Linked DNA regions of Sus scrofa. The protein of the gene in region 4 purifies or fractionates together with the protein of the main gene of each other region. This does not show direct contact. Links are inferred from orthologs where the notes say so. Each region holds a gene or a part of one and is shown on either strand. Other genes may lie near its edges. The genes, in order: SLC7A1, STX10, VAMP7, STX12, NAPG, VAMP4 and VAMP3.

Region 1 (3,500 bases), on a different chromosome or scaffold from region 4:
TGCTGTGGCTGTGGCATAGGCTGGAGGCTACAGCTCTGACTGGTCCCCTAGCCTGGGAACCTCCATGTGCCGCGGGTGAGGCCCTGGAAAGACCAAAGGCAAAAGACAAAAAAAGGAAAAGGAGTGGGGTGGGGGACTCAGAGAAGATTCTAGCATTGAGCTCTCAGGATGGAAAAAGTGGTCAGAAACCAGCAGACTAGTTTCAGCGGATTCTCCACAGCCACTGCTGACGCTCAACCCAGATACCCTAGCCGCGGAGCGCACTGGGGACGGATTCCGAGGCCGTGAAGCATACATTCCTGAAAAGGAAGTAGGGCGCTCTGGCCAGGGGCCCAACACCGAGCAGCCCCACGAGCGCACGTTCTCAGGACGCACGCAGCCTGGGGACGTTCCTGGGTGTGAGGAAGCAGGGCCCTGTCTCCCGGAGCAAAAGAAAACCGGAGATGTGCTTAGTTTAAAGGGGACACTGCGGCAGCGAGAAGCCCAGGACACCAAGCCTGGGCCCGGAGCTGCTTTCTTACAGCCTCCACGGGGCTGGCCTGGTTCATGCACGGCTGAAAGCCGGAACCCGAGCGTCTTCCTGGACCTCAGCCCCGGCTGCTCCAGGCCCTGGAACAGAGCTTGTCCCTCCGGGGGCAGGAACGGGACACACGCAAGCATCACAGGGAGCCACGTTTCTGGCTTCTCCCAATTCCCACCACGGCTCGTCCCCAGGTCCCTCCTGTCCCAAGAACCTGGACCAAATGGAAATCATTAGCCTGAGCCTTCGAAGGCACTGACCCAAGAAACCTGGCCCAGCAGTAGGGCTGACAACCTGTCTGTACCCACCATCAGCCAGAAAACTCAGGGCCCATGAGAGAGAGAGAGGGAGGGAGAGAGAGAGGGAGAGGGAGGGAGAGAGAGAGAGAGAGAGGGAGAGAGAGGGAGAGGGAGAGAGGGAGGTGGGGCCGCCCTAACCCTCTTCAAGCACCTTCTCTGTACCCAGGCTTTCAACCTCCCGGCCCCAGCGTCTTCCAGGCAGTTCCCAAAGGAGCTGCCAACGACCGAGCTGTGCACTGTATAACCCTCGATGGTTTAACACGAACTGCTATGAGCAAGGCTAGCACGGGGCAGCTGCACATCTGTCCTGGAACCCAGACCGGCCATACGTACCGTAAGACCAACACACAGGCGGCCACCAACGAGTACGCCAGGAGCGTGCCAATGGACATGAGGTCCACCAAGTCCTTCAGGTCAAAGAGGAAGGCCATGACAGCTGGGGAGGGAAGAGACGTCCGTCAGGACCCACGGCCACACGCTGACCGCCAGCACCAGAAGCGCCGCCACCCCCGCCACCCAGGGCACGCAAGGGGCGAGCCTCTGCTCCCCCACCCGCCACCCTTTCTGTGAAAACACTGGGGCTGGCTTCAAGGAAAGGCAGGCTCAGGACCAAACCACATACACAGTGATCGACAGATGCTAACAATTACCAACGTTTATACTAACTGGTGAGAGTGCTTTTCATCGACAGGACCCTTTTTGACCCTTGTGGCAATTTTGCGAGCTCTCCCTGCACTACAGGTGGAGAAAGAGAAGTCCAGACACGCTGGGGGACTTACCTAAGGTCACACCGCTAAGAAGCGGAAAAGCCAGGATCTGAGCTAGGTGCTCACGGCTCTGAGCCCAGCATGGTCTCCTCAACACTGTGCTGACCCAGAAACATGTTCGTCCATCCACCCATCATCCATCTGCCAGCCAATGGCACTCATGAAAGCATGCCAGTCGCTACGTGGTAGGTATGTGCCATTGAACAGACAGGCACATCCCCTGACACACTGCATCACCAGGCAGAGGGATGAGGAGGCTGAGGGCAAGCCCGGGGCTCCAGGAGGACTCTCAGGGGCTCCTAACCCAGAAGTCGGGCATGGAGAGCAGCGTTATTCCCAAGCAAGACCAGCCCATTCACCACGACCCCGCTTACAACAAAACAAGACATGTCTGCTTATTTGAAAACCCTTTGTTACTTTTATGAGAATATGCATGTCTATTTATGTGGGGAATGTGTCAAGTTTCCCATTTAAAAACAACTTGGCTAGGAGTTCCCTTCGTGGCCTAGTGGTTAACAAGCCCGACTAGGATCTGTGAGGATTTGGGTTCGATTCCTGGCCTCACTCAGTGGGTTAGGGATCTGGCATTGCCATGAGCTGTGGTGCAGGTTGTAGATGCAGCTCAGATCCCGAGTTGCTGTGGCTGTGGTGTAGGCCGGCAGCTACAGCTGCGATTCCACCCCTAGCCTGGGAACCTCCACATGCCGCGGGTGCAGCCCTAAAAAGCAAATAACAACAACTTGGCTAAAATTGGGGTGTTTTCAAATCACATGCAATCAGTACAAGTTGAAACATAACAACAAATCATTACTTCCCACAGGTATTGGTTGAGCCCATGCAGACCACTGCAACTAAACCAAACGCCAACTGAGCCTAAACAAGAGAGTCAAAGAGCCGTGAGGCTTTGGGGCATCAGAGGGGGGTCCCGCTGCGTGAGCCGCAGATGCCCACGCTCCCCCTCAGAGAAACGTGAGCCCGGCTTCTTCGGTGTGAGGTGACTTCAGAAAACTCAAGGCTTATCTACCCCTCCTGCCAAATGAAAAGGAGTAAAATCCTCGGTTTGGCGACACCAGTACTTTGCCGTCCCTTTAAAGGTTAGAGCCCCTTAATCAGTGCGGGAAGGAGATTAAGGTCAAATTAAATGTAAATACTGAAAAAACACCATTTCCGGTTCCTTAATCCTTAGCCACGCTGGTGATATCCTGGCATACGAGGTTCCTGAACCTGACCCCTGCCATCAGGCCCAAGAACGCAGAGTCAGTCACACGACAGAGAAAAACTAGCTTCCTTTCGGGATGTAATAATGCACGGACCACGGTGCCCTCTGCCAAGGGCACGAACACTGCCAACCACTCACTCCCCGAGACAGCCCAACGCCTTACCTCCGGCGACCTGATGAGCCCAAGGGGCACAGCCGAGGCCAGACCAGGTACAAAGACCGGCTGTTCTACTCTCACAGGGAGGAACCAGCTCTTTGGCCCCGAACCAACCAGGAACCAGAGCCAGCACCACACCGACTAGGAGCACAGACCCTGCACCTCTGAGCCTCCACCTGGGGCCTGGGACACCCCTGCTCCCGGGGCCACGAAACACAATTCAAGGAGGAAACAGGAGACAAAGAGCTGTCTCCCTCCAGGGCGCCCGGGGCCTCGCTGCAATCTCTCCAGTCCATTGCGCTCCTCGGTCAGAAGGTCTTCTTGGACACGATCAGATAAGCTTCCCCCAGGAGCTCCCTGGTGGCACAATGGGTTAAGGATCCAGCGTTGCCACAGCTGTGGCTTGGATTTGATCCCTGGCCTGGGAACCTACCTATGCCACGGGTGTGGCCCAACAGAAAAAAAGGTAAGCCCCCGTCCCGGGTCTGCCACTGTTTATAAACTCAGGGCAACTGGCCTCACCAGCCACGTCCCCTGG
Region 2 (4,079 bases), on a different chromosome or scaffold from region 4:
TGAGACAGGACCAGAGGTGGGTGCTCTGGCCAGGGCCCTGAGGTCCTATTGGCTCTGGATGAGAGCCTTGAGACAGCTCCCCAGGCATGACCCTCTCCCCCCAGGATGGGCAGGGCCCTGCCGGCGCCCCCAGCTCCAAGGCCCTGGGGGAGGACCAGGATCAGAGAGAGAAGAACAGGATGAGGACCAGGAGAAGCACCCCCAGCAGCACCACAATGGCACACCACTGTCGGCGGTCTGGGGGCAAGAGGGTCAGAGTTCACAGAGGTGAGGCAGTCCTACCCACAACCCACTCCCCCCCTCATCCCACTGCCAAATCGCTTCTCCCAGGGGACTCACCACTGGTCATGTGGGATACTTTGGCCATCTTCCTGAGGACGCCATCCATCCGGGACTGGGTGTGGTCCATCTCATGAGCAAAGGCGTCCAGCATACTGCCGAGATCAGGAGGGCATCAGCCCCTGGAAGGGCTGAGGGCTCCTGGCCCACCCCCAGGGTCACGGCCTCACATGCCCTGCTCGTCCAGCTCCTCCCCAACTCGGCCAGACATGTGTTTCAGAACCCGGATGCTCCCAGACACCATTTCCAGCTGTTGATCCTGTTGGTCCATGATCAGCTGTAGATGGGAGGGGTGGGGACTGCTGTAGGTGGGGAGCCCTGAGCCTGCTGCAGATTCCTCCAGCCCAGCACCTCCAGCCACCCACACAAACCTGCTGTGTAGCCTGCTGCTCTTCAATGTAGCGAGAGGTGGCCGACACCACACTGGCGTCCAGCAAGTCGCTGGATGATTTCAGGGTGGCTGGCTTGCCCGTTAACATCTGTGGGGGCCCAGACCACAGGCTCAGGGAGCGACACCCACTCACGGCAGAGACAGACAAGATTTGTGGCAAATCTAGACAATGGTTAGTCAAGAAGGCAGTTTCTGGAATGGAATGGTGTGGGTTCCTCAGAGCCACCACTTACAGCAAGGTGACCCCAAGACCCTATCACTTGACTTCCCTGTGACTCAGTTTCCTCATCTGTAAGATGAGAAGAGTTGTAATTCCTGTTTCCTCAGGCTGCAATGAGGACTTAATAAATTAAATCCATGGAGAACATATATTATCACATAGACACATGTATTTAAGAAACTGAACTTAAATCCTCGGAGCAGCAGCACACCTGCAAAGCATGTGGACCCTGCTATAGGACTCCAGGCTCTTGAGGCTTCAGCCCCCTACCCCACCCCGCCCCACACCCCATGTGGGTTTAAAGGGTGAGGCTGGTGTTTCACAACATGCAGAGAAAGAACACACAACACAATGGGCAAAGGTGTACAGACAGAGACAGCAGGGAGAATGTGCACAAAACGTATGAGTGAACACACACCCGGGGCAAACACCCACAGAGGGAAATGGTGTGCATGCACAAGGCAGATGGTGAGTCCCCTTGGAGGCCAAGTTCACATGCTCAGAGAGGTCAGGTACAAACACAGATTAAAAGAAAAAAAAGGTAAGCATGTATCTTGAAAACAGTAACACAGTGAAAAAAGGAGAGGCCACCATTCACACACAGGAAAACAGTATAGACCGGTAGGAGAAGGCAGAAAGGATTATATACAGAGAAGAGAGCTCAGGTGTACACATCCAGAAAGAGCAGGCAGGTAGACAACTGCACACAGAGAAGATGAGCCGTGATGCAGAAGGGACAGACATACACATACACAGGAAACTGGTGAATGCACATGGACGCTTCAGGCTTGCATTCCAAGGAGAGGGTCACCTCTAGGGACAGAGGGTAAGGATGTTGGGTCAGGACTCCTTACCTCTCTATTATTCTTCTCCATGAAGGCTATGGCTGCGGGGCTGACCATATGGTCTTTCATTTCCTACGGATGAGGACAGCATCTGAATAAAGACACCACTACCTCCCCACAGTCACCCCCACGGCAAACTCTCTTCACCTGGACTGCTTCCCGCATCCTCTCCACAAACGCCTTTCTCTCCTGCAGGTCTCCGGCTGGGAGCTTGAACTTGCCTGGGTTGGCTTCCACAATGCGTAAGCCTCGATTAAAGAGTCAAGGCCAGACCAGGACAGAACACCCTCCTTTGCCTCAAAGCCCTCAATCGACATCTCCTAAGTGTCCAGCCTCCCCAAGGGCTGGCTCCCAGAGCCCCCTGCCACTGCAATGGGCTCTGCCATGCAGCCCTCCAGCCTCCCCCGCCCAGGATATCGATGGTCTCCTCCAGGTCCTCGAGGTCCCACTCGATGCTGCGCAAGCCATTCCTCAGCTCATTGGTCGTCCAGTCCAGCTCCTCGCGTCCCACCGCCGCGCCCTCCTGCAAGAGCTCGCACCACCGCTGGTATAGCCCACGGGCTGTGTTCACCGCCTTCTGCACCTCGCTGCAGGCAGGGGCACAGCGGGCACAGCTGGGGGCAGGCAGTCTTCCTGCCCATACTGCGCACCCAAACGAATTGGGGGCTCACGAGACCCTCATATCCCCCTGTGTACCCCTCCCACACGGCCACGGGGCAATCCCGACGGTGGTGCCCAGAATACCTGGCACGCTCCGGCTGGCACCCGGGCACTGGCTGGCAGGGGGACAGGACACCCTCTGCCCTCCCCCTTCGCTGTCACTCACCCTCGTACTACAAAAAACGGATCTTCGAGAGACATATCACGCCTCCCACCCGCCCGAGGCCGAGCCCCCTCCCCTCTCGGCCTTGGACGCAGGTTCCCTCCAAGCAATGCAGAACTCGCCGTCACCCACCCGCCCGCTCCCGTCACGTGACCCAGGCCACCAACGAGAGCGGAGCCACAAGGGGAGAAAGAGAGGCCTTAGAGGCCCGAAGTGTGGAAATTTCCGCTCTCTCTTCGGCCATCTTGGTTGTGGGCGGAAACGGCTTCCTGCCCGTACCTATTCCTCTTCGCATCTTGGTCCACAGATGTGTCAGTTCTGTCTGGCTGGGTTCGAGTCAGAGCTCCCTACGCCTTGGTTGAAGACCCAGGCCTTCGGATTGTTGCTGCGCAACCATGGTTTCCCTTCTGGGCAATATAAATAACAATAGTCTCCTTCAAATCCGGTCAGATTATGGCTGGGGAAGTGGCTCCTTCAATTAGTAGATCATCTTTATGATGCTCCTGCACCTAGATCCTGTCCTGGAAGATGGTTCCAGCCCAGGGTCAGGTGTGACAGGTTTGGGGAGCAGTATGGGGATGGGTGGTCTCTCCACCTTCCCGCGGGGCCAGGGTGAACTGCAGGCATTCTGTGACGAGTTCTGTTTGATTTACCCCTCCTCTTTTTTTCCTGCGGAGGAGGGAAGCATCCCGGGGCAGGATGGCCCTGGATGGGGGCCCTGGAAATGCTTCTGGAGGGTAGGATCTTTCTGGGTGCGACCTGGGGGTCGTGGGAGGGAGTGTGGTGGGGGCAACTCTGAAGATAGCCTGCAATGAAGTCCTTTGCGCGTGGAGTGGGACCAGGGAATGTCTGGAGAGGGACTCAGGGTGGCCGCCTGTGCGACAGAACCTTTATGTGTGGGGTCTCCGAGAAAGCATTTTTTTTTTATTGGTGGGGGGGACCGTTGCCCGAGTGGGGTCCTGATTCTTGGAGCGGGCTATCTTAAGAAACCCTCAGAAGGTCGCCCCTGTTGTGTGTCAGAGACAGCGCCTGGGCGGGGGATGTCGTTGTGGAGTTTCGTGGGATTGGGAGTGTGGGGGAGCGGGGATGAGGACGTTCTCAGCGAGTAATATATGGCAGGATCGCTGAATGGGAGCGGTTTTGGGAGAAGTCTTTTAGAAGAGAGAATAATTGACCCCCCCATGTGTCAGAGTTGGAGATGGGGGACCTGAGCGTGATCCAGAGGTGCAAAGGAGGATCACTTTAAGGGGAGGGGCAGGATCTCCATGGAGGGGACCAGAATGAGAGTCCTCAGGGAGTAGCTGCTTGAGTTGGCAAGGTCTTTGTGTAGATCTCTGGGATACGGCGTCAGAGTGAACAGTGAGGTAGCCCCTACACGCCAGCAGGGGCTTTTCTGGAGGGGCGTCACATCTTCCCGGTCTCCGGAGGGAAGGAAGCGAAACTTTCTCCTTCCTCTCTGTG
Region 3 (3,998 bases), on a different chromosome or scaffold from region 4:
CAGATCATTTTAGTCATGATTTTGTGAATGTACTTCAGTTAGTCTATAGCCCACCTAGAGCTAATACTAGTAAATAAGGTATGGAATATGCTGTACATATTAGAGCAGAACAGTTTGTATAGCGCCTGTAAATGTAAGATCCTGCAAAGTTGAAGTATGGTAATAGTTGAAAATTGTCTTTATTTTAACAACATGGTTGAGAATTTTTTTGAATCTCAGTACTTAATTGCATTTGATTATCTTGAGATTTACATTTTATACATACACATATTTATCATTCAATATTTATTATTCTGCAAGTTGTCTATATATGTATGTCCATTCTCTATGTTCAATAGGATCAAAGATTATGCCTTAGGAAAATTACATTTTATTAAAGTATAGTTGATTTACAATGTTGTGCCAATTTATGCTGTACAGGAAAGTGATCCAGTCATATATACATTCTTTTTCTCACATTATCTTCCATCATGTTCTATCCCAAGAGGGTCTAGAATTTTGGCTGGAAAGGAGAGGTTAAGTCTGTGTGTGGTGAGGGAGGATTGGGGTTGAGAAAACTGACTTTGGAATGTTTTAGATGAGAGAAACTTTGACAATCTTTAAATGTTGAAAATAAAGAGCAAGTCATCAGGGAGCTGTTGAGTCATAAAACGGACGAATTTATTTCAGGAGCTAGACTTAGGTTGGTAAGAAATAGGGATGTAAACGGGACAGGGGAGCTTACATAAAAGAAGTTATTATTTTCATTATCATGATTATTGCAAAAGACTGGGAAAAAGGATTGCTGAGGGAATCCAAGGAGGTTAAAAAATTTCATGGCGAGAGTAGAGGGAGTTCCTGTCAGATGAATTTATCTCCTCTGTGAAGTAACGGGCTACCTTACCTGCTGAGACTCAGCAAGGAGATGGCAGGGAAAGCTCGGCTCTTCATCTATTCTGCAGACTCAGTGCCAGTGGACTCTCTGTGGCCCTGCGTCCTCTCTCTTACTCGAGGGACTAGCGCTTGATGTTGTTTGTGACAAGAGTTGTTGATGGACCGAGTGACAGATTCCGGGGATAAGCCAGAGGAAACTACCACTCCCGGAATGCAGTGCGGCTCCGGGAAGTGCGGGGGGCTGGGAACGCAGCAGGCCCCGCCCGCCTCTCGTTCCCATTGGAGGGGCGTTCGCATTCCCAGGAGGCCGAGCGCGGGCGGGGCGCTCTATGCGGAAGCCGGCGGCGTCTGGTCTATCTTCTTCTGGGAGCGGGTGGTCTGCTCCCAGTTGTTGAGCCGGGCAACTCTGTCCTAATCCTCGAGTTCTCCCAAAGGGCCCGGACAGGTAAAAGCAGCAGGGAGGGCTGGGCGGAAGGCGGGGAGACGACGGCAGAGGGAGGGAAGAGGTATCTGTGGGAAGGTGGAATTGGGAGGCAATGCAAGGGTGACTAGGGCTTCTCTGGTGTCGACAGTTAGAATTGTCGGGCAGCTCCAGTTTTGATGAAGTGCGTTCTATGCTGTTGAAAAGGCCTCGAGTTAAAGAGTCAGAGTGCGTCACCTAAGTTGTTACAGAAAATTTAACTTTCCCTCAGTTTGTATTCTGCAAGACCTCTCTGTAGCATTGGAATATCTTGAGATTTCTTAAGTCCTCAAAAAACTCCTCTCTACGCCCTTGTTTCGATGACGTCACTTTCTGCTTTACCTCCTACTTCTGGGCTCCTTCGTGGGTTTCTAGTTTTCTGTGTGCCCTTCCTCCAAGGCCCCTTGTTGACATTCTTCTTCTTCCTCAGTTCATATTGTAAACTCTGTATCTCTGCCCAGACCTATTTCCTCAGCTTCAGATCCGCATGATGTTCTCGTTATTACTATTGACAAATATTTAACAAACTGACCATGTACTAGGCTCTTTAGTAAATGCTTTACACCTTCCTCCTTCGCAACTTTCACAATCAGTTATCAAGTCCTTTTCTTTCTGTCTTATTAATTGTTCTCAACTACCTGTACCTCCATTGTCCTACCCTTGATCCCAGAGGATACTGTCATATTTGGGACATACTTTCCCTTTGAATAGCTGTGACTTAGAGAAGACCCACTCATATGTTTAACAAACATTTATTGAGCAGCTAATATGTGTTGGACACTCTTTTAAGTGCAAGGGATATACCTGGAAACGACATAGGAGATAGCTACGCTCGGTGGCTTACTTGGCTGTGTGTGTCGGGGGGCGCAAACAGGAAGACTCAAGATGATAGTATATGATGGTGTTGCTTAAGGCAAAATAGAACAGGTTTTTTGTTTGACAGGGTAGTCTCCTATCCTGAGAAAGTCGGAAGGATTGGGTTGGGTCTCATAACATCACAACAAAAAGAATATTTGTAATACCAACAAGAATAATGTTGATTTGTGACCAGACTTTAGGCTTATTATAAACACCTCTTCTTTTTCTCTCTCATATTGTTTGTTCTCTGTTATTCTGTCTCCTCCAAGGTTATTACATCAGAATTGGTGGTTTTTCAGTTACTGGCTTATTTCTTCCCTAACAAGAGTTGAGGATTGGATTACTCTCTCAGCTCCACTGCTCTATATTACTTAGGAAGATAGTTTGGTAATCAAAATATTATTCTTGCCAGGTCCTACTGATTATGAAATTATCTATCATTTATAATATATTTAAAACCAAAACATTCTCAGTGTTTTTAAATTTATTAAATATTTGAGGGAATATTATATGCCAGGCACTGTGCTGGACACTAGGAACCTAGTAAGGATAAAGTAGACACTTTGACCTCTTTTCCAAAAGGAAATAATTATATACTGAGGAAATTCCCAATACATAGACGGACACCTACATTCTTTCTTGTCTTCACCCAAGGTAAGATAATCATAAAACCTTTAAAAAAATCTTCTAAACAGTTGTGTACCTTCTTAAATCATTCACTCTTAAGATTTATTGCATTTATTTGCTTATGTCTGTCTTCCATATTGTACTATGGCTCTGTAGATGATAGACCTTAACTGGTCTTTAGTACTTCCAGTGTCTACTATATTGGGTGTCATAAAGTAAACCCTTAGAAAACATGTTGAACTGAAATAGGAAACCTGTTTGAGCAAATCTAAATTACCTAACTCATAGAAGCCTTTCTTTTCACTTATGGCCATTAGACTTATCCCTAAACATCTACATTTGCCAAATGCAGACCATTCCATCTCATCAGGCTAGTTTATTTATTTTCTCTAGCATGTTCTCACTTTTATGCCTTCTCTTGTCCTATGGCTCTCTCCTAAAATGAGTTCACATCTTTTCCCTGAGACTTTCCATGCCCCCTGCTTTTAGTTTAATGGGCTGATTTAATAATATGCCCCATGATACAAGGGTGAAAAAATTTAATTTCCATAATGTATTTCCTATGAAATATTCTGCTAATGAACTGTTGCAAGGCTTTAACGTAGTACATCTCCTTGCAATAATACAAATGATACAGAATGCTTTTTTTTAAATTTTGCATTGGCTATTACCATTACGCATATGAAGAGTTAATTCTTCCATTTCTTTTTTCTGTTTGAACAGTTGCACAACCTTTATTCATACAGCACATTTGGTCTCATTTGGTTTCTACTTGGTGCAAACACCTTTGAGTATTATTGTCATTTTCAGTGTGGAAGAATGTTAGATACAAGTTTCAGTTTTTAAAAGGTTTTTTTTTTCCATGCAGATATCTTTCAGTTGTAAATTATTACTGCAGAAGATAAATTTTGTCTTTTTAACTGACTGAAAAACACAACAGGCGTACAAGAGTGCTTGAGTCATGATTGCATTATGACTTTGGGATGTGCCAACCTAGGAGCACCCACACATGCTTCCAATACATTAAAAATTAAGTACTGTTATTTTAGAGAATTTCTTGGCACCTATGCCTTCGTGATGTAAATGCAGCACTGAATTGTGTGCCATCACTCACTTATATGATATACATGTAGATAATCCAGGATATTCATATACATCTTAATATTATAAAAATACAGAA
Region 4 (4,126 bases):
GAGGTTTCCAGCCTAGGGGTCTAATTGGAGCTGTAGCTGCCGGCCATAGCCACAGCAACGCAGGATCTGAGCAGACCCTGTGACCTACGCCACAGCTCACGGCAGCACCAGATCCTTAACCCACTGAGTGGGGCCAGGGATCGAACCTGCAACCTCATGGTTCCTAGTCGGATTCGTTAACCACTGAGCCACACGGAAACTCCAAACTTCACTTTAAATAGAGTCAAATGTTAATGAAAACATTCTCAAGAAGATTTTATAGGTAAAAAAGTAAAATTTACATGATTTGCTATATGACATAAAACTATGGATTCTAAGAAATGGTAGGGTTTTAATAACCAGAATGAGAGCCCCTAAATGTCAAATGTCATCTGTCCTTTTCTAAAAAGAAAAAAACAAAACAAAACAAAACAAAAAACCTCTGTTACAAATGCTCTAACAGAAAATAGAGATAGCCTTGCTTACAAAAGTTCTAAGGCTGAATGCAGGCTCATTCACCCATTTGGGGTGTCCCCCCCAACTCAGGCAAGCAGCTTCCTGCCTTGGCTATTTCCCAGAGATAGTAAAGCAGACTTGGTGTGAGGTGCGGTGGAGAACACAGGAAACAAACACTGCCAGTTCGCCTTCACGTCTATCTTGATCTCCTCCCAAAGCAAAATCCTACCCCTGTATTTCCATTTATCATACGCTTACAAAATGCAGTCTTTTATGGGAACATTGAGGTCATTCACTCAAAATGCAAAAAAGGCAAAAAAAAAAAAAAAAAAAAAGAGAGAGAGAACAACTGAATTGCAGTGAGGGGTCACACATAATATGTGCTCAATAAATCTTACCATTATTATTATCGTTTTATTGTTTAGACTACGAGACTACAAGAGGGGTGGTAGAATGAGAGCGATTTGTAAACCATAAAAGTTCTCCACAAATCCTACCAAAGCCTTTGAGGCTGGAAGCAGAGTGAGGGATTTCAGGAGTTTGGTTACGCATCTGAGCTTCAAGGTTATCAAATTCTCCCATATTTGGGCCTGAAGTCTCAGAATAGAACAGAATAGGACGTTAGGGCTGAGATCATCTGGTACAATTTTATGCTAATCGAAAAATTCTTGCCTTCTTGTCACCGTGCCCTGGCGATAAACAACACCGCCACCCCAGATCCTCCAATCCGAGCCCCAAAGGTATGATGTCATCGCTCCGCCCTGCATCCCCAAGCCCCAGAGCGTCAGGTCTCCAAGCTACCCATCTCGGCACCAGTTCCAACAGCGCCTGCGCATTGTGGGGCCGGTCGGGTCGGGGACGGACGCGTGCGCGCCGCGAGGGGGCGGGGCTAGTGCGCACGCAGCTTCATCCCCTTCCCAGCCCTTTCTCTTCCCGGTTTCCCTGTCAGCCTGCGGGTCGGGTCTGGCGGCTGCTTCCGGTAGGAGCGCGGTGCAGGGCAAGTCGGTCTCGGCTCCTCGTCATGTCCTACGGTCCCCTAGACATGTACCGGAACCCGGGGGCCTCGGGGCCCCCGCTCCGGGACTTCAACAGCATCATCCAGACGTGCAGTGGCAACATCCAGCGGATCAGCCAAGCCAGTGAGCCGGGGTACCGGGCTGGGGGGCGGGGACCATCCTGGGGACAGGCCTGGGTGAGACTACCGGGACGCGGAGCCCGGCCAAGGCCACAGCCGAGGCCGTCTCGGGCCCTCCGCTCTGGGTGCGGCGGGCTGCCATCCTCGAGTCTGCCAGGCCCAGGCTCCCTGAGAGTCCCTAGCCCCAGCTGAAGCTCGAGTTTCTTCTCAAGAGTTTTGCCCTAAAGGTGTTGGGGCCAGGACTACAGTCCTGACAACTCCGGGGTGGGAGGGTGTATATGTGTCCTCTCCAGAGTACTAAGTGAGTCGACGTGGTGCAGTGGTCAGCCGAGTTTTTCCTGTCATCTGCCTCCCTCCACCCACCTCTCTTTCCTCTTTGGTCTGGGTCTGGAGTTGTTTACTGGTTTAGACTTTACTTTCTGCTCAGCTTCTGGCTTCTTGGACGTCAGCAGCTTTCAATTAAGGGAAGTGGAGAGTGCATATGTTTTGGTGATTTTAACCCAGTTCTTTCTGTAATGGATTTTGAAATCAGACACAATGACTTTAAGGGGTGAGATTCTGCTTTAATAAAGAGATTTCACCGAAAACATTTCAACTTACGTTGTCTTTGTAGCAAAAGATATGCATATATTTTTGGATTTCAAGCCAATGAGGGTTTTGTTTTCCTTCCCCATTTAGTTACTCTTTTGAACTAACATGAGACAGGCAAAGGGACTTAGTCTCCATCAGCTAGCAAGTAAGACATGGCAGAGTTGGTGGTGGATTTCAGAATGTCATTGCTTGTCTTAAAACTACACACCATCCAACATTAGGGTCTGAATGAGACTGCAGTTGAATGAGTCAAATACAAGCTATTTCTTGTGCCTGAAAATCAGCTCAGAACCTTGTAAACAAGAGGTCAGCAGCGACTATTTGGAAAGAATGGTATCATCATCATCCTTGTTTTTTATTGTGTTTTTGTGAGCTTGGTTGTCCTCTGTTAATAAGTAGAACTAGCTGGCCCTGAATTACAGTTATGTTCTATCTATCACTTTGCTTTAAATTTAAATGTATAATGTAGAATTTTGAGCTAGGGAAAGTTTCTGATGGAAAGCGTTTGAGCCTGGATGCTTGGAAAGTGGAAAGAAGAATATGTGGTCTATTAACTGCAGAAATTTCAAACAAAAATTAATATGACCACTGGTTAGAAAGTATAGTACTTTGTGTTCCAATTTCCTTTTGTGAGGGAGCCGTAGCCCAGATTAGATCAGAAAATTCTCGTTCAGGGCTGAAAGTTTCTTGTTGAGGCCAAATCTCATTTTAATGTCTATCTGTGAAATGTTCATTCTACTTCTGTTTGAGTATCAGGCATGTAGTATGTATAGGAACTGGCATGGGTTCTTTTAACAGGGAATCCGTGGCATACATAACAACCAAAATAAAAAGTTGAAAGAGATCAGTACTATAGAAGAAGTGTAATAAAATTATAGATATTCAGGAGAGAGACACCTTTTTCATTTGGGAGGGGCCGGGGGAGGTGTTTGGGCATTTGAGCTAGGTTTGGAAAGATGGTGGGAAGGATTTGAACTTTTGGCAGTTAAAGAAGAGAATAAAATGAACAAGGTGCAGTAGTGGGAAAGCGTGTGGTGTGTATAGAAAAGTAGAGTGATTTAATTTGGCTAGAATGGTGAATTCCAGAAAGTAGTGGAAAATAGGATTGGAAAGGTAAGTCGAGGCCCAAACATGGAGGACTGTAAGTGCTAAACTAAGGGGGCTTGGATTTAATTCTTTAGAAACATGTACATTGAGTTGGAAGGGAGCGACTGGAATCATGGACACCAGGTAGGAACTGAAAATGCAAAGAAGGAAGGAAAGGATAGGAGAGGTATCTTTGGTGATAGAATTGATAAAGTTTATCTGTTGATTAAGCAGGCATGAGGGGAGTTCCCATTGTGGCTCTGTGGTTAACGAACTAGTATCCATGATGATGTGCGTTTGATCCCTGGCCTTGCTCAGTGGGTTAATGATCTGGTGTTGCCATGAACTCTGGTGTAGGTCACAGACGTAGCTTGGATCTGGTAGTGTTATGGCTGTTGTGTAGGCCTGCAGCTGTAGCTCCAGTTCAGCCCTTAGCCCAGGATCTTCCATATGCTGCAGGTGCGGGCCTCAAGAAAAGTGGGCATCAGGCTCAAGTGGATAATTGAATTCAACTATTAATAACATTAATAACTGACATTTGAGTACATACTGTATGCCAGGTAATATAAGCTTTATAGGAGTTTCTGCTGTGGCTCAGCAGGTTAAGGACCTGATATCATCACTGTGAGGATTCAGGTTCAATCCCTGGCCTGGCTCAGTGGGCTAACGATCTGGTGTTGTTGCAAACTGTGGTCTAGGTCCTACGTGCAGCTCAGATCCAGTGTTGCCGTGGTTGTGGTATAGGTTGCAGCTGCAGCCTTAGTTCAACCCCTGGCCCAGGAACTTCCATATGCTGCAGGTGTGGCCATAAAAAGAAAAAAAAAAAAGTGCTTTACATGCATTATTTTACCTAATTTTGTAACAACCCCGTGAAACAAT
Region 5 (4,229 bases), about 13 Mb from region 4:
ATGCTGTTATTGCTGATTAGTGTCATCTTACCTGATTTCTTTTTTCTTGGTGACATACTAACACTAAATGCGAGGCTAACAAATGTGATCAAGGCTACTGCTGAAACACAGTAAAATGTGTTCAGGGTGTTTCAAAACTGTATTATGCTTTATACCCAAATAATCACGGATATGCTGAAAGCTATCTCCCATAACTTAAAATGCTAAGTTTTTAATAATTCTCTTTTGGTTGCAAATTCCAGATCATTTTTATCTTACATGCATATAAACATATTAATATATGCCTATAATGTAACACTTCATAAACATTCATCGGTGCACCTCCGTGGAAGGGTCAAAAAGAACAAGAGCCAAGCCACGGCATGCAGCTCTACTGAGAATGAGGCTAAGATGTTTTAAAAAGTCAATGAGAAAAATCTTCAGGGAGTTCCCTTTGTGGCTCGGCAGTTAACACACCCGACTAGGATCCAGGAGGATGCAGGTTCGATCCCTGGCCTTGCTCAGTGGGTTAAGGATCCAGCATTGCCATGAGCTGTGATGTAGGCTGCAGACGTGGCTCAGATCCAACATTGCTGTGGCTGTGGCATAGGCTGGCAGATGTAGCTCCGACTCAACCCCTATGCTGTGGGTGAGGCAGAAGGAAGGAAGGACAGAAGGAAGGAAAAGAGAAATAGAAAAAATCTTTCAAAATAACAGGTAGCAGAAGAACATGACAAAACTCTCAGAGATAGTATGAACTGAATGAAGTTCAAGAACATATAAAGGATGCTAAAAGCGCAGCTGCATCCCCTGCTCCCATCCTGCCATCCCAGGAGAGGCAGAGGCCACTGAATCTGCAGCTCACACTCAAGACATCTGAAAACAAGTGGACAAGTGCAAGGATTCAGGCAGTTTCGTTTTGTCTTTTAAACAATTAAAATGCTACAGGATGCGTTAGGAGGAAGAATTATACCGAGATGAAGTGAGCAGCCCATGTCAAGATTACACACCACAAGGACTGGGCTACAGTCACTCATACCTGCTTTTCCATATTCAGAAGCAGCACTGTCATAATCTGGCTTCCATTTTAAAAAACCAGTTTTCAGGCTAAAAGGAAAAGAAGACACAATTAACACAAGTTACCAACCATGTTCGTTCATAAGTAAGAACCCTGCTTGTAAGCACCTTATAGGTCATTAAAGGGGGCAGGGGACCATGGGCCAATCACATTCCTAAGAACCTTGCTTGTAAAGGCTCTGATGGGCTCATTAAAAAGGGGGGGAGGGGACCATCCCTACAAAGTCACCATCTCACTCAGCTCCATTGAAACTTACTGATAATCACATACAACCTCACTACCTTCCCCTCCCATTGTCACAGACACAGTTGTCCCCCTTTTGAAATGTCTGTCCAAGTAGAGTGGAGGGTCTTCCTGCACGGTCCCCAGACTAGCAGGAGCAGCACCACCTGGCAGCGTACAAGAAAGTGTAAGTCACTGAGCGAGCCCCAGCTCTACCGAACCAGACACTCTGGAATAGCGGCGGCAATCCAGGGTGTAAAAAGCCCTGAGAAGTATTAAAGCTTGAGAAGGGCTGAAGCACATAAGTAAGCAGTGGGACCTGTGAGACTGCAGCACAGGAGAGGCCAGAGAATGACCGAGGAGTCATCAGCAGATGCCACACCAAGGGCCCCATAAGTTTCTCTAGGAAGACTGCAGAGAAAAGCCAGGAAGACTGCAGAGAAAGGCCAGAAAGACTACAGAAAAGACACTCAGGGAGACAGAGGGAGTCAGCAAGAAAGACTCCAATGAGCCACCAGGGGACAGGAAGGACCACCTGAAAGACGAGGACGACTGGAAGACAGAAGCTGCTTTCCAGGATTCCAGGATTACTTGGCATCTCAAACGCCACACCAAAGTACAATCCGATTGAATCCTTATCTAACCTGCCCTTTCTGCAATACTTTAATTTCAGAATAATTTCAGGCTTACAGTTTAGTGACTGTCAAGCTTAGGTGTGCTTACAAATTGCCCAATGAACATCATCTTTAATTCTAAACTTCAGTTAGTGACGACCTGCTTACGACTCTGCCAGCTTCCAAGGGACCAGGGGACACCTTAACTGAGGAAAAAGAGGGGCTACCGGCCTAGGTGGGGGGAGCCCCCAGACTGCCGGGCTCCGGGGTACCAAAGAGCCCCCACTGCCCCCATCACCCGAGCCGCGACAACTTCCGGGTCGACGGTAGCGCTTCCGGGCCAGCGCCCACCCCCCCAAGCCCCGCTCGCCCGCCCCTGCGCCCCCCGCGCGATGCTAACTCGGACAGCTCTCGGAGGGGCCCGGCCCCGGCGTCCGGCCTGGGCCGCGCTGGGCCTCTCACTCACTATTTCTCTGCTTTGGCGAGGTGCTCCAGTCCCTCGTTTATCTTCTGCGCCGCCATCTCCGCGGTGCGGCCCTGACGTGGAGGCCGAGAGCCCGCCGAGTGGGCGTGGGAACGCCGAGGAGGAGGCCGGGACGGCGCCGCTGCCGCTCCACCGGGGCCTGCAGGGCTCAAACCAAGTGCGGCGAAGCGGCCCGGGAGCCGCGCAGGAAACGCCGCGCAGGCGCAGAGCGCCCGAGCTGGCCGCTAGCTTGTCTCCATGCGCAGCAGTGGTGGGTAGTGAGGGAGGTTCTCTCATTCATTCGTTCGTCAAGCACCGGTTTGTCGAACACCTACTATGCGTCAGACACTGTCCTAGTGCCGGCAGGTCGCCAGGGAGAACGAGAGACCGAGTCCGGCCCTCGTGGATCTCGCTTCCCGCTCCCTTGAAAGCGCATTGGCACTGCGATCCGTGACCGCATAGACTCGTTTATTTTTTACTACATGTGCGCCCCTACCGCCTGTCGGTCACCGTCAGGTAACCCCTGACAGATGCTCAGAAGTGAGCACTCCGTGACGTTCGGGAGCGAGGTTCGCCAGCAAGGGTCTGGCAGAAATAACAGTAACTCCGTGTCCGACTCACATTTCGTGGGGTTTCAACACCTGCAAGGTGATTCTGCGATAGCATTGCAGCTCCTTGGTCTCCACCCAACTAGCTCATACTCTCATCCCCAGGATCACACCCTCGACCTTACCAGTCATGGGTAACTAATTACTAGTGACTGTGCCCCCGACGCATCACTTTCAAGCAGACACTTTATTTCTTGCTGTCTTCTAGCTCTGATAATTTTTCACCTTCAGCAGAACTCCCACCTCTTCCTGGCCTCTGCTCCTGTTCACACCTCCCTGTTTACCCATTATAAGCTCCATGTTCCATCATTGTAACTACTCTTCTGCGTGTGCATCAGCCTCCCTGGCCCTCTTCCTTTCTCCTTGTATGGAAAAGCCCCTGTTCTCTACGGACTGGAACTGCTCTGAGCAATTGAAAGTGGTTGGAGAAAAACAAAGCAGCAACATGCTAACGTGACCCGTCCCTGGAATCTGTGCTCATACATGTCAAGGAGGCCCTGGTGCAGCTAAGTTCCTGAACTGCATTTCACTGGACCAGTCATCCAAGGGCGAAATCTCTTCCTGGACCATCTTGGGCCCTCTAGGTGTGACTCTGTAAACTAGACTGGGCAAGATGGAGGAACAGGGGGAAAAGCACACATTTATTTAACAGAGGTTTTGTGCGACACGAGAGCCTTTATAAGGAAATGAAGACCCGCAAAAGTGGTTACTCCTGTGTTTTTATGCTTGCTGTGCTAAAGGCTGGAAAGTCCTGGGAAAACACGATGGGACAAGGGCAGGAGCCCAGCACAGTGACCTGTGGAAACTAGCAAGGCCTTTGTTCTCACCACCTTCAGCACCTCTGTCTTCAGAGTGTTCCTGTCCTCCAGGTACAGGTAGCTCATCTCTCACATAGGGTATATGGGGTTCGGGAAACGCTGTCCCCAAATACGGCACCTTGGCACATGGAACCCAGCAGAAAATCCACAGTCTAACTGGTCCTTCAGTCATAATTTCTTTATTAAGGCTCCCACATCACCTAAAACTTCTGTTCAGTGAATCTGTAGTCTTTCCTCCTATTAATCTGTCTGTCACTTTCATGTTCAGACCCAGCCAGGGGCCTAAGAGGGTTGAGGAGAACTTTTTCCTCCCTTACAGGGTCTCATGGGAGAAGGGAGGAATCAAACCTGCCTGCACCTGCTCTTTCTCAGGTTCCCCCAGCTGAACCCCTTCAGTATGCCAAGGAGCCGTACTTTGGGGTAGTGCGTTCTGAATCCCACTGGGAC
Region 6 (4,223 bases), on a different chromosome or scaffold from region 4:
CAGATACAAAATCAACCGTAGAAGGCAAACGAAAAATAAAAAACTTCTGGGTCATCTATGTATCAGTAGTCTGACCTTCATGTCCAGGCAGAAAAACATAGTAGAAGTAACTTCCCTTCCAGGTGGACAATTTCAGTCCAAGTCAGCCTGGATCTGAGTAGTGGACTCACAGATAGTCTAATACCAGACTTTCAGAAGCTTTGGTTGACAACCTATGGCTCACCGTTTCTCAACATCCCAGGCCAATTGAATTAGAATCTCAGAGAAAGGCATGGGCACTCATTGTTAAAGCTTTCCAGGTGATTCAGTTTGGAGTTCCCCAATGGCTCAGTGGGTTACAGATCCAGCATTGTCACTGCTGAGGCTCAAGTCACTGACCCAGGAACTTTCGCATGCCCCGCCAACCAAAAAAAAAAAATCAACTCTCTACATCATTAACCTGAGAGTCATTACCCTACCTAAGGTATATTTCAATTAGTGTTTGTTTGGCTTAAATTACACTAAATCAAAAAACACTGTATTAAAGGAGCCATATTTAGTAAAAAAAAAAAAAAAAAAAAAAAAAAGTGGAGCAAATTGGTAGAAATAAATTGATAAAACAATCCAGCTGGGGCGTGTGTGGGAGGAATGGGTAAATAAGGGAAAGCAAAGGTAAAACTAGAATTATTTTGTATTACTGAACCCTGGTACTGCAGGCTTAAATATGCTACTAATTTGGGTGGAGAGGAGGTAGGAGGAGTCAAGAGAACAGTGGAAAGGCCCTGCAGGAGTCATCTTCCACCTCAAATCTGAAGGCTCTGGTGTCTACCTGGTGTCTGGACCCGGTTATTTTAGGTTAGGACTCCACAATAACAGATGAAAGAACACCGAATCCTCGACCCAGATCTGTCCAAACTAGTTGTGCAACCTCAAGTCAATCTCTTTGGACCAGAGATTCCTAATGTCTAAAACAAGGAGACTGGACTGGTCACTTAAGATCTCCCTCCAAGTCTAACTCTGATTCTATAAACAAGGGATCACACAGATGTTACTTCAGAAAAGGCTGTAGCCGGTCCTCGGGCTTTGAGCCATCCTCATTTTTCTGCTCCGCTTCCTTAGCCCAGGGGATGGAGCCAGCAACAAAACACCATCTTAGTAACGCCTCATCAACCCCAGTCAGGATCAAGCCCTCAGCGCCCACCCCTGGGTGACTTCTCAGAGCTTTCTCTACCTCTCCTGAACGCCCGACCCCGGCTGGGACCTCAGGAACCCGCGACTGTTCCTCGCTTAAGGCACAAGCCCATCCTGCGGATGCAGATGTAAACTCTGAGACCGCAAAAACCTCTGGATAGAAAGCTGCACGCGGAATCGACTCCCTCGATGATCTCCGTGGCCTGGACCCGCCCCTCCTCCTGGCGCCGGGACGCGGAGCGCCGATCGACTCGATGAGCGGGGGCGCAGCTGCGGCGGAGCGGCTGACGCCGGGTCCGCGCCCACTGTATCCCCCTCCCTGTTTTCTCCCTCCGCTTCCCACTCCTTCCCCCGCCCGCCCAGAGCTGCCCGCCCGGGAGAGCTGCTCAGAGCTACCGGGGAGATTCAGGTACGGCCGCACGCCTTGTCCCGAAGGGAGGGGCTCATGTGCGGAGGAAGGAAACGGAGATGACTTCCCTGCCCCGCCGCCCCCAACGTCCGCGTCAGGCTGGGGGACCAGCCTCGGGGGTAGTGGAGGGAACCCCTAGTGGGAAAAGGGGTTGGACCGGGGGTGCCCTGAGTAAGAATGACAAGGACTGGGGTGTGCAATGGGGGGGAGAGGTTTAAGGGGGAGAAGATTAGGAATTGTAGGGTGCTCTGGGGAGATGGGAAGAGAACAGTGGCGAGGATGGGGAAGATTGCAGAAGAGTGGGAGTCAGCCCGGAGTGTGAGCAGGTATCTTGGGGCAGAAAGGACTAGAGGTAGGAGCAGATGTTGGGGGACGTGGCCTGGTGCGACCGATGGAGTATAGGGGGTGAACAGTGCTGCTTGCTGGAGAGACGGATTTGTTTCATTATTCAAAGGCTTGAGAGAGAGCGCCAACTCCGCTACATTTATAATGACCGGAAGGTGGGGTGAATGTTACACTTTGACAGGTTTTGTGAATAATATCTCCAGGCTTTGGCCAACCAAGTCAGTTATTTCCATGAAGCTGCACGAACCAGGCTGTCGATGAGAGATGAGGAAGAGGAGTCAGAAAGGGAACGAGGCTGAGAAAACGGAAGCCTCTGCCAGATTCAAGCTTTTTGTGAAATGAAGTACTGGGAGTTGTGGTTTGCTTGTTTTTGTAAAGCAAAAAAGAATACAGCATTTATTAAACAACAGGTTAGAAGTTTATTACGTATAAAGCAATTGAATACAGAACGTACTGCCTCTTCAAAAATACATACATGAAATTGTAAACGTAGGATGACATAAAAAGCATATGGTGATGTGACATTTTAAAAATGTGTTGGTGTCTCCAGTCAGTGTTGAGATACATCATGAAGGCGCTCTTTACATTTATACCTAGACACAAACACCTGAATTCATATGTATTTTGTGCAGGAGAAATCTTAGGTAGAAAGAATATGTATAAGTCTAATTTCTGAGCATGGTTTACTTCTACTTGTTTGGTACAAATACCAATTGCTCTGTGGTTCATCAAGCAGTTAGTCTGCCTGTTCTTTTGCTGATGGCTTTTATGTTTGTCAGTGATTTCTTGCCTTCCTGAGGCTGATCCTTGGATTATGGGACCTGATTTTGGGTTTGCTTATCACTAAACTTGTAGCTCTACTGTATATTTCATAAAGATGTTATGTAAGTCTGCCTGTTACTTGCTTTTGAACATGGCAGTAGCCCCTTTGTAGGATTTAAAATATAAATAAAATACAGATATAATTAAAAGAAAAGCTTCAGTAGCTTCCCTTGTCTGTTTCTCCATGCATTCTGTAACATTTCTGCTTGAATGAGTTATTCTGAAATCAAAGTACGAGGAATAAATGGGTCAGATGCCAGATGTACGTGACAGAAATATTGTGGAATGAAGAACTCTAGAGCTATTAACTTAGGTAGCAAGTATTTGGTTTTTGTTACAGGTGATTTAAGTTTCTGGTTTGGAAAATCGTCTCATACCAAAGCAAAGTGTTTATCAGTTTGTTTTGATGGGAAATCAACTTAAAATTTTACTTTATTTAGTTTATGAAACTGGACTCTGGGCATGTTTATTCTTTTTTAAGTGTGTAATATTAACCAACAAACTGATGTCTACTTAAAGATCTTAGGGGTGTTCTTATAGAAAGGAAAAGGGGGCTGCTGGGTTGTTAAAAGAAAGTGGTCTTTCCAGAACAGAACTGTGTGTAACCTGATAACTAATTGGATCATTAAAACCAATCATACACAGCAGTTGGTTAATTTAGTCCTGTGTTTCTGCTGTTTCAATCAACAGAGCGATTAACACTATTAGTTGCTTATCTTTTACTAAGCCTTAGTTTTCTCTTGGTTTCTTAGTGTCTACTTCCCAGGCATGTTGTAAAGAGTAAAAGAAAATATGTGTTAATCACTGAACACAGTGCCTAACACATAGTAAAACATTCAGTACACCTTAGCTTTTCTCATCTATCCATCTTCTAGTCCATCATACTAAAAACTCATATTTTCATATATCAGCTTTTCCTCAAGAAAATTTTGAATATGTTGCATACTCAAGCATTTTCCTGAAAAAAAAAAAATCACAGGGCATGTTAGCATATAAAAGGCTATGAGACTTTGTATAGCAAAACAAACAAAAAAATTGACTTTGTTGGAATTCCCACTGTGGCACAGTGGGTCAAGAACCTGACTGCAGCAGCTTAGGTCACTGTGGAGATGCGGGTTCAGTCCCTGGCCCAGCACAGTGGGTCAAAGGATCCGGCATTGCCGTAGCTGTGGCATACACTGCAGCTGTGGCTCACATTTGATCCCCGGCCGGGGAAATCCCATATGCTGCAGGTGTGGCCATATATAAAAACAAAACAGGGGTTCCCACCGTGACTCAGTGGTTAACGAATCCGACTAGGAACCATGAGATTGCAGGTTAGATCCCTGACCTTGCTCAGTGGGTTAAGGATCCAGCATTGCCATGAGCTGTGCTGTAGGTCACACACGTGGCTTGGATCTAGCATTGCTGTGGCTGTGGTGTAGGTCGGCAGCTGTAGCTCCGATTAGACCCCTAGCCAAGGAACCTCCATATGCCA
Region 7 (4,224 bases), about 16 Mb from region 4:
AGCTTCAGATCTGCTCAGGAAAGAAGAAATTTCTCAGAGCCACTATTCCTAGAATACTTGCTTGCCAACTGTCTTCTCCAGCACCTCTCAACACATCAATCACTTGTCTACGTGCAGAAAGTTGAAGACACGGATCCAAATTCACCTTTCCAGTTAAAACCCTCTGCAGTTTTTTTAAAGCCTTCCTTTCTGAGCATTTGGTCGCTCATCTCATTCCCTTTCACCACAGACCTTCCTGTCTCCCTGGTGGACCCTCTTCCTTCTGATCCATCCCGGGGCTACTGCTGGACAAGTTCTGGGTGACAGATCTGCCGCAATCCATGAGACTTCAACGGTTTCGAGAGCCCACTGTGTTTACATGCCATTCTCCTTGCTTGTTAGTCTTTACCTTTTATTCAATCTTATTTTCACCTGTGCCCTAACCTGCACCAGTCCCACCACCACCCGCACCTCCTCGGTCTGTTCAAACCAGGTCCATCTTGAGTTTCTTTGTCTATGAAAGGTTGTTCCTCCCATGCCTGGAAACTCTCCTTTTTGCCACTTGATCCAACTCAAATCTCACCTCCTCTGTCTTGCTTTCTTGTCTATTTTTATTTGTTCATGTAGTGATTTAAAATTTTTTCATTATAGCCTAGTTTACAGTGTTCTGTCAATTTTCTACTGTATTTCCTAATTTTTTTATATAGTGAACTCTCCTGTTTATTTTAATATACATCAATATTTCTTTTTCCAATTATCCCATTTAGGGTTGCAACAGACAGTTTGGTGTTTATTTTTTCATTTCTCATCGAATCTGCCGGTTGACCTCCCGGTGTTCTGTGGTGTTTGTTTAGTGTAGGAGTTGCCTGTGGTGGTAGGAATAATGTCAGGAGCAATTTAATACCTTGCAGAGTAACTCACTGAATTGGTGCCTGGGCCTCAACCCAAATCAAAAGCTGGGGACCTACTCCCTACTGGGGGGGTCCAGAAATACAGAACCATACAAAGCCCAGTTACTGATGTGAAGGCTCCTGTAAACGGGTTATAATAAGCTCTGTGCAATGACAAATATTTGTGTCACAAATGACTACACGAAGAGAGGGACCCTAGGCCCAATCAATGCCTCTGACGAATACCCTGAAGGAGCTTCAGGTCTTATTTTAAAAGTTTCCTGGGGAAATGCGGTGTCTCTAGCATCACTGGGTAAGACGCAACGTTAAGCAGAAGCCCATGGGCTGTCACTGATACCGTCACGGCCACAGGAATGACCCACGGGCCCAGAATAACGTAAAGCGCCCCCACCCCCGACCACCCACACAGTCCCTTTCCCGGGACTAAGGCTCCGGGCCCCCAGGGTCAGGGCGGCCGGCCGTGGGGGGAGGGAGCGGAACCGCCCTCCGGGCCCGCCCCCGAGGCGCCCCGCCCCTTCCGGCGCGCCCCTCGCCGCCGCGCACGCCCCGTCCACCCCGTCAGCCCCTCCCTTTGACGTCATCGGCCCCGCGCCGCCGCCACCGCCGCCTGCGCCTGGCCCCGCCCAGGTTCCCCGCCTCAGGTCCCGCTGCGCCTCTTCGTCGATTCTCGCCCGCTGTCGCCGCCGCCGAAATGTGAGTGACACAAGGCGACACGGAGCGACCTCGGGCCCTGGGGGCGGCGGCCAGTGGCTGGGACCCCGGCCCGGCTCGGCCTGGCTCCCTTCTGCAGCGTCTCGGACGCGGGCCGAGGCTTCGCGGGGGCTCCCGAGGCCTGGGGGTGGGCGGCGGGCGGCCCCGGGGATACGAGCTGCAGACGGGCCGGGTCGGCCCTGGGCGTTGCCTGCCGCCCCGGAGGGCCCTGCGGCGGTCGCGCGGCCGCGGAAGGGGCGAGGGCGGGGCGGCCGGTGTTTCCCAGCGGAGGGGAAAGCCCTTCCCCGTCCCATTTTCTCCTCCCCTCCCTCCGCCCCTCCCCGTCCCATTTTCTCCTCCTTCCCGTTCCAAGTTGACTGAGGGGAGCTGTGGCCACTGCCCTCGTCCTGGAGACCTGCTCGCTATCGGGTTGGGTTGGGCTCCGGAAGTTGCAAGGGAGGGGCCTTCAGCCCTGTCTTGAGGCACTTGCGGTCAGAGTGGGTCAGAGTGGACTCGGGCGCATAGCCGTAGGCCTTCTCTCTTTTTTTTTTAAGCCGAAGCATTCTTGTTGTGACCCTTGAAAGCGGGGAGTTTCCGGTGGTAACATCCAGGGAACTCTTAAGTGTCAAAAATCACAGGGAGCCCCTGTCCCCACTCCAGCCTGCTCAGTGCTCACCCCAGAGGAGAAAGGAATGGGTGCTTTCCTAGGGTTCCTAACGGAGCAAGAGACACCACTCCGGAGTGTATGTACCTCCTTGAAGCTGCCGTGCCGGCTCTCGGTGTGTGAAGTCCAGATCTGTAGAATTATGCAGAACCTAATCTAAACACAGGCGCCACTGCAGCCAGTGGTGTCAACTTTCTAAAGCTATTCATCTATAAAATGAGGTTAACAATAGTGTTCCCTCAAAGAGTTTTGGGGATTAAATGAGAAGATGCACCAACACATGGCCCTTTGCTGTTATCTCTCAGACAATAAACTCTCTGAGGGCAAGGGTGGGATCTCCTTTATCATTGGTCTTTGACACATGATAGATATGAAATAACTGTTGAATCAATGAATCAGTGGCTGTTATATGCAAGATAAGTGCTCTAGGTGCTGTCTGGGATACTGGAAGAGACGTGTAAGACACAGGAGTCGGTGATCTGTTAGAGAGGGCAAGACTCTATTAATACATGAAAAATCAAAGCATTGCCAACCAAGTAATGGAAGCAATTAGGACTTCCTAGCCTGCGTGGTCGTGAAAGGTCTGCCTGGGGAAAAATAAAGCTTTCAATGAGGGTTTAAAAGAGGCACCTTTTTGGAGTTCCTGTTGTGGCTCAGCACTTAGCTAACCCAAATAGCATCCATGAAGACACGGGTTCGATCCCTGGCTTCACTCCGTGGGTTAAGGATCTGGCGTTGCCACGAGCTGTGGTGTAGGTCGAAGACGAGGCTCAAATTCCGAGTTGCTGTGGCTGTGGTGTAGGCTGGCAGCTGTAGCTTCGATTGGACCCCTAGCCTGGAAACCTCCATGTGCTGCGGGTGTGGCCCTAAAAGGCAAACATACAAAAAAAAAAAAAAAGTACCTATTTAGCGAAGAAGAAGCGTGGCTTCGTCTTACCTTTTCCACTCCCAGTGCCTTCTACTCGGCATCTGGGTCTTCCCAACTCTGTTTCTCTAAGTGAATCTATTTCCTCATACTGGAAAAGGGCATTTTATGATTGTTTATACAATTCTTTGCCACAGCGAAAAGATCAGAAGATTGCTGAGTGCATTTAAGTAGACTTATACCTTCAAACAAGTCATAAAAAATGGGAAAATAGGAGTTCCCTTCGGGGCTCAGCGGTTAATGAACTTGACTAGGATCCATGAGGATGTGGGTTCAATCCCTGGCCTCGCTCAGTGGGTTAAAGATCCCACGTTGGCACAAGCTGTGGTGTAGGTTGCAGACGCAGCTCGGATCCCCAGTTGCAGTGGCTGTGGTGTAGTCCGGCAGCTGTGGCTCCGATTCCACCACTAGCCTGGGAACCTCCATAAGCTGCAGGGCGCAGCCCTAAAAAAAGGCAAAAAAATAGGGAAAATAGAGTTTACTTATCTTAGGATCAGGTGCTTTTGTGATACAAAGTAGATCCTGTTAAATCTCATTTCAGACCTTGATCACTTTTAACATGTGGGTGAATCTCTGAAATTATAGAGAAACTAGAAGAAATGGCATTAGAACCTTTGTTCATTACTGCAGGAAGGATTTCCTTTTTCCGCTTTAGTGCTGAAATTCCCAACACTGAGTGTCCTGGAGTGCACCTTCACACTTGGAGAAGTGTGTTTGGAATCCTCATTTACCCATGCTTGTGCCTTTACCTCAGGTCGACAGGTGCGCCTGCAGGTTCCAGCGCTGCCGCTGGCAGCAACAGAAGACTTCAGCAGACACAAAATCAAGTGGACGAGGTATTGCTTTCCAATGTTGTTGCATTTTAAGCCAAGATGGGAAGGCTTTGGAAATAATTCTGTTTAGAAAAAGTATCATAAAAGTGTAAATGTAAAGTAAATTTCGACTCTCACAAGTGTAACAAAAAAGTGCCCCTGGTTTTGAAAACCCTTATCTAAGCTCCTGAGAAGTCACGCTCTCCTGGTTTCAAGCTTGTTTTCCTGCCGCTGAATCACACA

Evidence for each region.
Region 1: the proteins of STX12 (region 4) and SLC7A1 purify together in Homo sapiens (co-immunoprecipitation; 3 studies listed by BioGRID and IntAct, counting the BioPlex papers as one, with this or other methods). This does not show direct contact. The link is inferred for Sus scrofa from reciprocal best matches to the Homo sapiens genes STX12 and SLC7A1.
Region 2: the proteins of STX12 (region 4) and STX10 purify together in Homo sapiens (affinity purification with mass spectrometry; 3 studies listed by BioGRID and IntAct, counting the BioPlex papers as one, with this or other methods). This does not show direct contact. The link is inferred for Sus scrofa from reciprocal best matches to the Homo sapiens genes STX12 and STX10.
Region 3: the proteins of STX12 (region 4) and VAMP7 purify together in Homo sapiens (affinity purification with mass spectrometry; 3 studies listed by BioGRID and IntAct, counting the BioPlex papers as one, with this or other methods). This does not show direct contact. The link is inferred for Sus scrofa from reciprocal best matches to the Homo sapiens genes STX12 and VAMP7.
Region 5: the proteins of STX12 (region 4) and NAPG purify together in Homo sapiens (affinity purification with mass spectrometry; 3 studies listed by BioGRID and IntAct, counting the BioPlex papers as one, with this or other methods). This does not show direct contact. The link is inferred for Sus scrofa from reciprocal best matches to the Homo sapiens genes STX12 and NAPG.
Region 6: the proteins of STX12 (region 4) and VAMP4 purify together in Homo sapiens (affinity purification with mass spectrometry; 3 studies listed by BioGRID and IntAct, counting the BioPlex papers as one, with this or other methods). This does not show direct contact. The link is inferred for Sus scrofa from reciprocal best matches to the Homo sapiens genes STX12 and VAMP4.
Region 7: the proteins of STX12 (region 4) and VAMP3 purify together in Homo sapiens (affinity purification with mass spectrometry; 3 studies listed by BioGRID and IntAct, counting the BioPlex papers as one, with this or other methods). This does not show direct contact. The link is inferred for Sus scrofa from reciprocal best matches to the Homo sapiens genes STX12 and VAMP3.

What each region holds. Positions count from the first base shown.
Region 1 is NC_010453.5:6,545,655-6,549,154, forward strand, and holds part of SLC7A1 (high affinity cationic amino acid transporter 1), read right to left. Parts: intron 1,256-3,500; coding exon 1,153-1,255; intron 1-1,152. UniProt on the Homo sapiens protein: High-affinity, low capacity permease involved in the transport of the cationic amino acids (arginine, lysine and ornithine) in non-hepatic tissues.
Region 2 is NC_010444.4:65,912,853-65,916,931, reverse strand, and holds the start of STX10 (syntaxin-10), read right to left. Parts: upstream 2,801-4,079; 5' UTR 2,657-2,800; coding exon 2,622-2,656; intron 2,383-2,621; coding exon 2,213-2,382; intron 2,038-2,212; coding exon 1,943-2,037; intron 1,868-1,942; coding exon 1,805-1,867; intron 819-1,804; coding exon 711-818; intron 617-710; coding exon 510-616; intron 435-509; coding exon 340-434; intron 238-339; coding exon 161-237; 3' UTR 1-160. UniProt on the Homo sapiens protein: SNARE involved in vesicular transport from the late endosomes to the trans-Golgi network.
Region 3 is NC_010461.5:125,862,105-125,866,102, forward strand, and holds the start of VAMP7 (vesicle-associated membrane protein 7), read left to right. Parts: upstream 1-1,198; 5' UTR 1,199-1,318; intron 1,319-2,773; 5' UTR 2,774-2,845; intron 2,846-3,998. UniProt on the Homo sapiens protein: Involved in the targeting and/or fusion of transport vesicles to their target membrane during transport of proteins from the early endosome to the lysosome. Required for heterotypic fusion of late endosomes with lysosomes and homotypic lysosomal fusion.
Region 4 is NC_010448.4:84,917,501-84,921,626, forward strand, and holds the start of STX12 (syntaxin-12), read left to right. Parts: upstream 1-1,326; 5' UTR 1,327-1,456; coding exon 1,457-1,574; intron 1,575-4,126. UniProt on the Homo sapiens protein: SNARE promoting fusion of transport vesicles with target membranes. Together with SNARE STX6, promotes movement of vesicles from endosomes to the cell membrane, and may therefore function in the endocytic recycling pathway.
Region 5 is NC_010448.4:97,972,175-97,976,403, forward strand, and holds the start of NAPG (gamma-soluble NSF attachment protein), read right to left. Parts: upstream 2,801-4,229; 5' UTR 2,416-2,800; coding exon 2,360-2,415; intron 1,087-2,359; coding exon 1,019-1,086; intron 1-1,018. UniProt on the Homo sapiens protein: Required for vesicular transport between the endoplasmic reticulum and the Golgi apparatus.
Region 6 is NC_010451.4:114,172,169-114,176,391, reverse strand, and holds the start of VAMP4 (vesicle-associated membrane protein 4), read left to right. Parts: upstream 1-1,423; 5' UTR 1,424-1,579; intron 1,580-1,661; exon of another isoform or gene 1,662-1,750; intron 1,751-2,105; exon of another isoform or gene 2,106-2,334; intron 2,335-4,223. UniProt on the Homo sapiens protein: Involved in the pathway that functions to remove an inhibitor (probably synaptotagmin-4) of calcium-triggered exocytosis during the maturation of secretory granules.
Region 7 is NC_010448.4:68,472,497-68,476,720, forward strand, and holds the start of VAMP3 (vesicle-associated membrane protein 3), read left to right. Parts: upstream 1-1,424; 5' UTR 1,425-1,581; coding exon 1,582-1,583; intron 1,584-3,923; coding exon 3,924-4,005; intron 4,006-4,224. UniProt on the Homo sapiens protein: SNARE involved in vesicular transport from the late endosomes to the trans-Golgi network.